Linked DNA regions of Neurospora crassa OR74A. Each later gene encodes a partner of the first gene's protein in a complex. Links are inferred from orthologs where the notes say so. Each region holds a gene or a part of one and is shown on either strand. Other genes may lie near its edges.

The links.
Region 2: the proteins of NCU01643 (region 1) and NCU04191 are in contact, whole or in part, in a cryo-EM structure (PDB 9FMS), measured with the Saccharomyces cerevisiae proteins. The link is inferred for Neurospora crassa OR74A from reciprocal best matches to the Saccharomyces cerevisiae genes RAT1 and RAI1. Residues at the interface, in NP_014691.1 of Saccharomyces cerevisiae: Arg216, Ala217, Asp218, Pro219, Glu220, Thr313, Phe314, Asp315, Arg318, Cys368, Asp369, Phe805, Pro854, Ser855, Lys858, Ser859, Ile860, Ile861, Leu862, Asn863, Ile911, Thr912, Gln913, Tyr914, Lys915, Arg917, Thr918, Gly919, Gly920, Tyr921; in NP_011268.1 of Saccharomyces cerevisiae: Tyr46, Tyr47, Leu48, Pro49, Asp50, Leu53, Asp54, Arg55, Leu181, Gln182, Tyr183, Thr184, Arg186, Ile189, Glu190, Phe226, Asp227, Phe228, Gln247, Val248, Ala249, Asn250, Ile251, Thr254, Phe257, Glu258, Phe280, Lys288, Thr289, Val290.

What each region holds. Positions count from the first base shown.
Region 1 is NC_026502.1:2,829,645-2,834,153, forward strand, and holds the start of NCU01643 (5'-3' exoribonuclease 2), read left to right. Parts: upstream 1-1,624; 5' UTR 1,625-2,119; coding exon 2,120-2,429; intron 2,430-2,506; coding exon 2,507-4,509. Other genes in the region: NCU01644 (intracellular protein transporter UsoA), read right to left, coding at 1-769. UniProt on the Saccharomyces cerevisiae protein: Possesses 5'->3' exoribonuclease activity. Required for the processing of nuclear mRNA, rRNA and small nucleolar RNA (snoRNA) precursors.
Region 2 is NC_026505.1:5,152,870-5,156,901, reverse strand, and holds NCU04191 (rai-1), read right to left. Parts: upstream 2,527-4,032; 5' UTR 2,518-2,526; coding exon 2,350-2,517; intron 2,294-2,349; coding exon 2,051-2,293; intron 1,976-2,050; coding exon 1,916-1,975; intron 1,848-1,915; coding exon 1,840-1,847; intron 1,787-1,839; coding exon 1,692-1,786; intron 1,622-1,691; coding exon 1,451-1,621; intron 1,375-1,450; coding exon 1,075-1,374; intron 990-1,074; coding exon 796-989; 3' UTR 715-795; downstream 1-714. Other genes in the region: NCU17026 (hypothetical protein), read right to left, coding at 1-393; NCU04190 (exocyst complex component Sec8), read left to right, coding at 3,010-4,032. UniProt on the Saccharomyces cerevisiae protein: Decapping enzyme for NAD-capped RNAs: specifically hydrolyzes the nicotinamide adenine dinucleotide (NAD) cap from a subset of RNAs by removing the entire NAD moiety from the 5'-end of an NAD-capped RNA.

The DNA.
Region 1 (4,509 bases):
AGGCACTTCTTAATAGGTGCGCAAGCCGTGCGATGAATCCCATTTCCCTGACATTGGACTGATTGGACGCGTTGAGACGAAGCAGGTTCGCCAACAAGATCAAGCAATCCTCCACCACCCTTGCGCCCTCGACGAGACCTCCTTCATTGGTGATAATCTCGAATATGCGCTCGAAGCCCTTTTCGAATGCCACCAGCTTCTGGATATCCACGGACTCGGCAGTGAGGTCGATCAGCAGACTGATGGCCGCATCCCGGACGGCTTCTCGCCTGTCGTCGAGCACGGCAACCAGCCTAGGGATGCCCAGGGGCGCAACGAGGACGCATTCTTCGGTTCTCTCTGTCCGGGCAAAGTGTATGTGGGAGAGCAGCTGAAGTGAGTAGAGGCGCGAGTAAAAGTCGGTCGTGTCGAGCAGATCGAGCAGCAGCGTGATGTTCTCCTGGCGCTGGGTGAACTCGTCGGCGAGCCAGAGCGCAATCTCCTCTGAAGCTTCGGGGCTGTCTTCGTTGGGGCTGAAGAGCATCAGCAGGGTCTCGAGGACGACCTTGACCGTATCGACATCCTCGCCATCCCTGCTCAGACTCCCGATGAGACTTCGTAGAGCGCCAGAGGCTACTGAGGCCGGGTACTGCTTGGAGAAGCTGCGCAGACCGAGGATGGCGGCGCGGCGGTCTTCGAGGAGGGTCGCGGTGTTGAGACGGCCGCTGAGGACGGCAATGGTTTCGCTCACCGACTGCTTGGCCGGCGCCGCCGTAATGGTCGAGAACATGTTCGAGGATAGAGGTAGTGGACTAGTTTGGATGCCATGGAGGGAGGGACTGGAGGATCATGGCGTACGGCGGGGTGCGCGCATGCTCGAGGGTTAAGAGGTGTCGGATCACCACCTCTTGCGTCGTCGGGGTGTCAGTCAGGGGTAGGTACCTGTGTGGTCCCGCTATAGCGAGCGTAGTGGTACTTGCACCTGTAGCTTAGTGTATACCTACCTAGCACTCTGAGGTTCCGTTGGATCTTGGATGTACCCGGACAAAACGATTGGAAAATGGAAGGGCCCGCCTTGTTACAACCACCCGACTCGCTGCACACAAACGAAGCCAGGAAGTAGGTATGTACCTAGTTGCTTCCATGTGGCTAGTAGGTATACAACCAACGGAGGCCAACGGAATGAAACTAGGGGACAGGTGGTCCTTTCATACGAAAAGTCCAGCCCGCGCAACAATTGGCAATCATCAAGGCATGGTAAGTACCTTAGATACCTACACCTCTAGGTAGTAGTATTTATCATTTCATACCTTGGTTAGGGTCGTTTCGGGACTCATGGAAAGTACTATGATAGGTATATAATCGTGCAGTTCCATGTAATGCTATGTATAGGTAGTCTTTCGGATAAGTAAATGTCGGGTGTGTGTACCTCTACGGTTCCTGCGCCTCAATCATACCGTGCTCTGTTAGCCCGCACAACTGTTGATCATAGAGCGTCATGTGATGTTTCGATAAGCCGATAACAGGCTGCTGTGGCGTTGTCATTGGTCTTATCAGTGCTTATCGTCCCTTGCCGCATGGTCTTGGCACTCGTTGAACCCTTGAATTCTTTCGCATGTCAGAGCTCGGCGTTCTGTTCCGGTCTCGTCCTTCTCTCCCCAGTTCATCCCACTGCCACTCCATCACCACTTCTGCAATCGCTCACGTCTTATCCAACGGGCATTGCTGCAAGGACCGCTTTGCTGTGTCAATTTAGCCCGGATTCATTGAATTGGGCTTTCGACAAGGCGTGTCCTCAATCTTGCTGCGCCGTTTCCACAGTGCACTTTGAGGTGAACCTTGGTGGCTCTATCTGCGGTCACCTTGCGCGTGTTGTGCATCAGCATCTTTTGTTGCCCATACATCCGATCCCTTCGACCGACCTTATACCTCAGTCTGCTTCCATCAACATTCCTTTATTCGCTTTCCGTCGGTGCGAATTGAAGAACCCACTACGTTCACTTTCCGAACCACCCATCTCGTTCAGCGACTACCCCCGATCTTTCTCGCGACAACTACCTACTACATTTTATAGCCAACCACATTTTAACTACCGTCCCTACAAGTGCTATTCGTGTGACCACTCGATCGCCTTTGCAAGATGGGTATTCCGGCGGCTTTCAGGTGGCTGTCCACCAAGTATCCCAAGATCATCTCGCCCGTCATCGAGGATCAGCCGATTACTATGCCCGATGGCACCGTCATTCCTGTTGACGCGACCAAGCCAAATCCCAATGGCGAGGAGTTTGACAACCTGTATCTCGACATGAACGGCATCGTCCATCCTTGCTCTCACCCCGAGGACCGCCCCGCGCCCAAGGACGAGGAAGAGATGATGGTCGAGGTTTTCAAGTACACCGATCGCGTCGTCAACATGGTTCGCCCGCGGAAGCTTCTCATGATTGCTGTTGGTGCGTATCTCTCTTTCGCACCATCTCTGTCGCCCTACTTTGATTTAAGAAACGGGACTAACATAATTTCACCACAGACGGCGTTGCCCCCAGAGCCAAAATGAACCAGCAACGGTCCAGACGATTTCGCGCTGCCCGGGAAGCCATGGAAAAGGAGGAAGACAAGCAAAAGTTCGTCGAGCTGCTCAAGAAACAGAACGGCAAGCCCCAAGAGGAAGAACCCGTAGAGGTCGTCGTCAAGAAGGCTTTCGATTCCAACTCCATCACTCCTGGTACGCCCTTCATGGACATCCTGGCTGCCAGTCTCAGGTATTGGTGTTCCTATAAGCTCAATACCGATCCTGCCTGGGCCAACATCAAGGTCATTATCTCTGACGCCACCGTTCCGGGTGAGGGTGAACATAAGATCATGGAATTCGTCCGCTCCCAGCGTGGTTCCCCCAACCATGACCCCAATACTCGGCATGTCATTTACGGACTCGACGCCGACCTTATCATGCTTGGCTTAGCCACGCACGAGCCCCATTTCCGTGTTCTGCGTGAAGACGTCTTTGCCCAAGACAGCAGGCCGAGACTGTGCAAGATTTGCGGTCAAAAGGGACATGACGCCATGAACTGCAAGGGCGAGGCAAAGGAGAAGAATGGCGAGTTCGACGAGAAGGACGCAGTCGTGCCTCTCAAGCCCTTTATCTGGCTCCACGTTTCCATTCTCCGTGAGTACCTTGCCATTGAACTTGACGTTCCTGGCCTTCCCTTCCAGTTCAACTTGGAAAGGGCCATCGACGATTGGGTTTTCATGTGCTTCTTTGTCGGAAACGATTTCTTGCCTCACTTGCCTGCATTGGAGATCAGGGAGAACGGAATTGATACCCTAACGGCCATCTGGAAAGATAACTTGCCCGTAATGGGCGGATATTTGACCAAAGATGGCCATGCGGACCTTGAACGTGTCCAGTACATCATGGCCGGCTTGGCCAAGCAGGAAGATGCCATTTTCAGGAGGAGAAAGGAAACCGAAGACCGACGAGAGGCCGGTTTCAAGAGGCGCAAGCTTGCCGATGAGGCCCGACAAAGGAGAGCCCAAGGCAGTAGGCAAATACGTCAGGCGGCTGAGAATAGTGGTCCGCCAGCTGGATTTTCCTTTCACAAGATTAACGAATTTCCGGGCAAGGCTCCGCAACCATCAATCACTCATGACATGGTGGTGAACCGCCAGGCGGTTGACCAGGCCAATGTTGCCAACAAGAGTGCCGCTAGCGTGCTCAAGGATCAGATCAAGAGCATGATGGCGCAAGGAACGAGCACTCCAGAGAACGGTGCTGAGTCCACTGAGACTCCTGCTGAAACTGCTGCGGCCGCCCCGGCCACCGAAGAGCAAGCTGCTCCCCCAGCAGCCCTGGGTAAAAGGAAGGCTGAGCTTATCGAAGATGCTGTCGCTGGTCCCGAGGCCAGCAGTACCGAGGTGACCGAGATCAGCGAGAGTGATGCTGAGCCTACCGATTCGGTCAGGCTGTGGGAAGAGGGCTATGCGGACCGGTACTATGAGCAGAAGTTCAAGGTTGACCGTAAAGACATTGATTTCCGTCACAAGGTTGGCCGTGCGTATGCCGAAGGTCTTGCGTGGGTTCTGGAGTATTATTTCCAGGGCTGCCCCTCATGGGAGTGGTTCTACCCCTACCATTACGCGCCGTTCGCTGCGGACTTTGTTGATCTTGGCAAGATGGAGATCAAGTTTGAGAAGGGCAGAATTTCGCGGCCATTTGAGCAACTGATGAGCGTCCTTCCGGCCGCGTCTCGTCATGCCATCCCTGAGGTGTTCCACTCCTTAATGTTAGAGGAGACCAGTGAGATCCGCCATTTCTACCCCGATGACTTCGAGATTGATCTCAACGGCAAAAAGATGGCTTGGCAGGGTGTCGCCCTCCTTCCCTTCATCGACATGCCTCGTCTATTGGCTGCCATGGAGACCAAAAGTCATCTCTTGAGCCCAGAAGATCACCTCCGGAATGCACCGGGCAAGGATTATCTACTTCTATCTGATTCTCACCCAACACTGTACGATCACATCACGAGCCAGTTC
Region 2 (4,032 bases), on another chromosome or scaffold:
GCTTTCCCCCAGCCAGACAGTGACGAGCAAGGCATTGTGGTAGATATCTGTCATCAGCTGAACCTGAGACGATTTCTCGTCTTTGTCGGACTGGTTGATGCATATCGCATCTACCCAAAGCGTCGTGGAGAGGTTGGATTTAGATCGTATGCGTCTTAGAGCAGCGCAAAGGTTGTGAGTTGCATGGAAGGGAACGCCGTTGACAGCAATGGGAGAGGTAACATTCGGATCTCCCCAGACGTATGATAAGGCCGTATACTCCGTTTCCATTGACAGTTGAGTTATGTACAGTCTGCATTGGATGGGGTCTTGAAGACTGTTGGCCGGGAGAAGCTCGAGCAAGCGGATGTCTTTTTGAGAAGTGTCGAGACGCGTGGCGTGGATTGGGGTCATAATGATTTTAAAGGACCGCGAGTTATGACGGACGATTGCTGGACAGAGTCAAGCGATCTATAACCCAGAGAGTGAATGGTGGAAATGAATTCGTGGGTGAATGGAAGCATGGAGATTTTGATGGTTTGGGTTGTTGACAGGGAGGTGAACATTTGTTCAGTTGACAGCGGGGAGCTTCGCGTCTTTAGTGGGTTGAGATTAGATGGAAAGCTGCCTCGCGGCGTGCCTTATCACACGGAAGGTGCAGACAGGTAGGGTTGGATGATGGAAGACGTCGGAACTGGCAGGCAAGAACGAGGGGGGTGGCTGAGAAGCTACCGTGGGTTGCCCAACGCCAATGTACTTCTTTCTATTGGACACTGATGCACATAAGAAGACGTGTACTGCTTCGTCCAATTCAGCTTACTCTTCGGTCTCATTGTCTTCAGTAGGCGGCTGTGCCTGACGAAGCTCGAGCTTGATCCGCCAGTTCATGAACTCATCTGTGATGATGTCTCCGTGGCCCACCTCCTCGACTTTGAACACTTCGATTTCTGCCGACCGAGGCCTTCTCTTGATCCTCCACACGCCCTCGTCGGTGATGGTATGGCGAAGCCCTGAAAAGAGACTGTTAGTCATAGATTCCAAAGCATAAGACGCTTTGCTGGACTTCAAGAAGACAAAGGAAATGACAAGACTCACACTCGAGGAAGCCGTTAGCAAAGTTGACGCACGTATCCCCATCCCATTTTGGCCGCCCATTCTTCTTCACCATGAGCGGTATCTCCATCGTGCGGAACTCTTTGGTCTCAACCAGCAGCCCATCCTGCGTCCGGAATCCGACAATGATCTTGGGGACGCCTAGGAGAAAGGACTGGATCCAAAACTTCATGAGCTTACGCTCAAAGTTATTGGCCTGGCGCTCATTTTGGATTACTGCCGACGTCTTGAGCTCCACCCAGTTGATTGGATCGCCTTGAGTCCTTGGTTTGTCGTCCCATACTAAGTAAGAAAAGACGAGTTATTAGTTGGGGTTGACGAGAGGCGTTAGTATAGGTAGGGAGACAAGAGCACTAACTAGCATCAACCTCACCACCGATACAGAGAATGGTCTTGCCAATGCCTGTACGGACTACTGAGCAGTATTGCTCCTTGTTGTTCACGACATGATCGGGACGGCTTTCAATGAAATCGCGAGAGGTCTGGCCCCATGGTTTCGGAAGTGTGCTCAGAGTCTCAAACTTGTAGCCTTGGAAGCCAGGAGACGTCAGCTTACCAATTCAGCAGATATGAAAGACGTGGACAGTGAGTTAGCTTACCCCAGTACTGCATCACTTCTTGCGGGATTGGCCCGTTCCATGGCCGCTCGTTTGCTCTCGATGCTTGTTTGTATGCATGGTTCTCTTCGATAAATCTTGTCGCCGTCAGTCAAAATAGCATGGGGGCGGAAACCATGTGGTCGCTTACATGCAACCCTTTTACAGCCATGTTAGTATGACAAGGCTTCCCAAGTTAGATGGCCAAGCGGCAGGTGTGGACGAACTCTGTAAAGGGTAGCATTCATCTCAAACCCGTCGTCATCATCAAAGGGGGCTGCCATGATCTATCACGGTGTATATGATGTTAGTGTCCGATATACGAACGACATCATGAAACAGCTAGTCTAAGGGAGACTCGCCTTTGTCATCATGCCTCTCCAAGTTACGATGTGAGCATCGATCGGTTTCGACGTCTTTTGCTCATAGTCGGCTATGGTGGTGAGTAGGCTGTCCAGATGTTCGTCTACACTATCGTCATGTTTGATGAAGCTCTCGAAGCCCTTGGACAGGTCGACGTTGAGGTCTGGTGTGTAATACCACTTCAATGACTGAGCTCCAAGTAAGAACTTGTGATCGGCATCGTATGAGAAGCATGCAAATTCCTGGTCAGACAGTTAGCCTCTCTGGTCTTTGGATGTCTCTAGTAGGTTGTTTCTACCTTTGGCCGTTTGACCAGCTCACTCTTGCCCGCAAACCGTGCTACAGGCTGGATTGGGAAAGCGGCGGTCATGGTAGAAAAGAGCGGTTGTCCGGCGCTGTGTATGTGGATGAAGGCTCTAAATCTGGAATTCCAATGCCCAAGTATAAGGACTTGACGAGTTATCATTAATACTTGAAAGGAGGATAGATGTAGAGAAGAGCCAGGATACCTTTATTGAGGTGGAAGCATCTCGAGCTTGTAATTCATGTCTCGTGGAGGCCGCTGCCCCTGCAGTGATCCGTCGTGCGTGAGGCCCTGTCAGTGGGGTTACGTACCTATGTAGCAACGGCGGGACCCTCTGTAACAACAAACAAGCACTGTACATCCGTTTTAGGGGATCATGAACGTGGAGAGAGGAGGACTTCTTGAGCAACACCAACTAAAGCACCATCATTGACCAACCTAACCTTGACACCCGACGACTCAAGTCCTGGGTGACGACGACTCAACGTCCACTCAGTAACACCTACAATTCATACCAACTGTAGACGGGCCCGGCACACCAAGCAGTAGTTCCATACTGTATACCTTAGGCATGCCGATAATGAAGTACCGCGCAACACGATAGCTCTCCCTCCTCGCGACACCCGGACGCCGAGTCAAACACACACCACCATCATGGCCGACCGATACGGCCAGCAGCCGCAATCCTATCGGGGCAACAGCGGTTTCGGCAACCTTGGCCGGCGTAACGACGACTACGATCCCTACGGTGACGGATATCCCAGCGACCGCTATGGCACCAGCACTAACCCGGCTTCAAGACCATCGACGGCCTCCCGAAATGCGCCCCCGCCCCGGTCTGCCCAGCGTGGCCGCACGGGTGCCGGCGATATGCAGATCCAGTCCAATGCCGAGCGCCAGATTGGAAACGTGCTGGATCTGATCAAGAGAGAATGGCCCGCCATGGTCGAGACAGACTGCATCCCCGTCCAGCTGGCTCTACAGCTTCTCGACACCAGCTCCGTCGGCCGCGCCCACGAATACCGCAACTTCCAGCAGACACACCAGTTCCTCCAAGAGTCCCTCAAGAACATTGTCCACGACCACCACCAAGGCTTCAACAGTTCCATTGGTACATTCCACAAGATCCAAGGGAGCATACAGTCCTCCCAGAAGAAGGTGCGCGCCCTCAAGGAGTCGCTGGCAGCCTCCAAGACGGCACTCTGCACCACCAATCCCGAACTCAAACAGCTACATGCCACGTCACGCATGTACGATGGCGTCCTACAAACACTGAACGAGCTCGATGACTTGCGCACCGTTCCAGACCAGTTGGAGGCCAGGATATCCGAGAAGCGTTTTCTGACCGCCGTCGAGGTCCTGCAGAATGCGCTACGGAAGCTGAGGAAGCCCGAGCTGGATAACATTGGTGCCCTGAGCGACCTGCGAAGCTATCTTGCAAATCAGGAGACCGCCCTCATGGATATCCTGGTGGAAGAGTTGCACGAACATCTCTATCTGAAATCACCGTACTGTCAGGAAAGGTGGCAGAACCTGGCAAAGGTCCAGGGAATTTCTCATGAGACCTATGGAGACGCCCCAGGCGTGGCACCCTTCCACGGAATCTTGGACACCATTGACTGGGAAAAGTCCGTGGCTGAGGATCCCCAAAAGAATCCCGAGGCGGACACGTTTTAC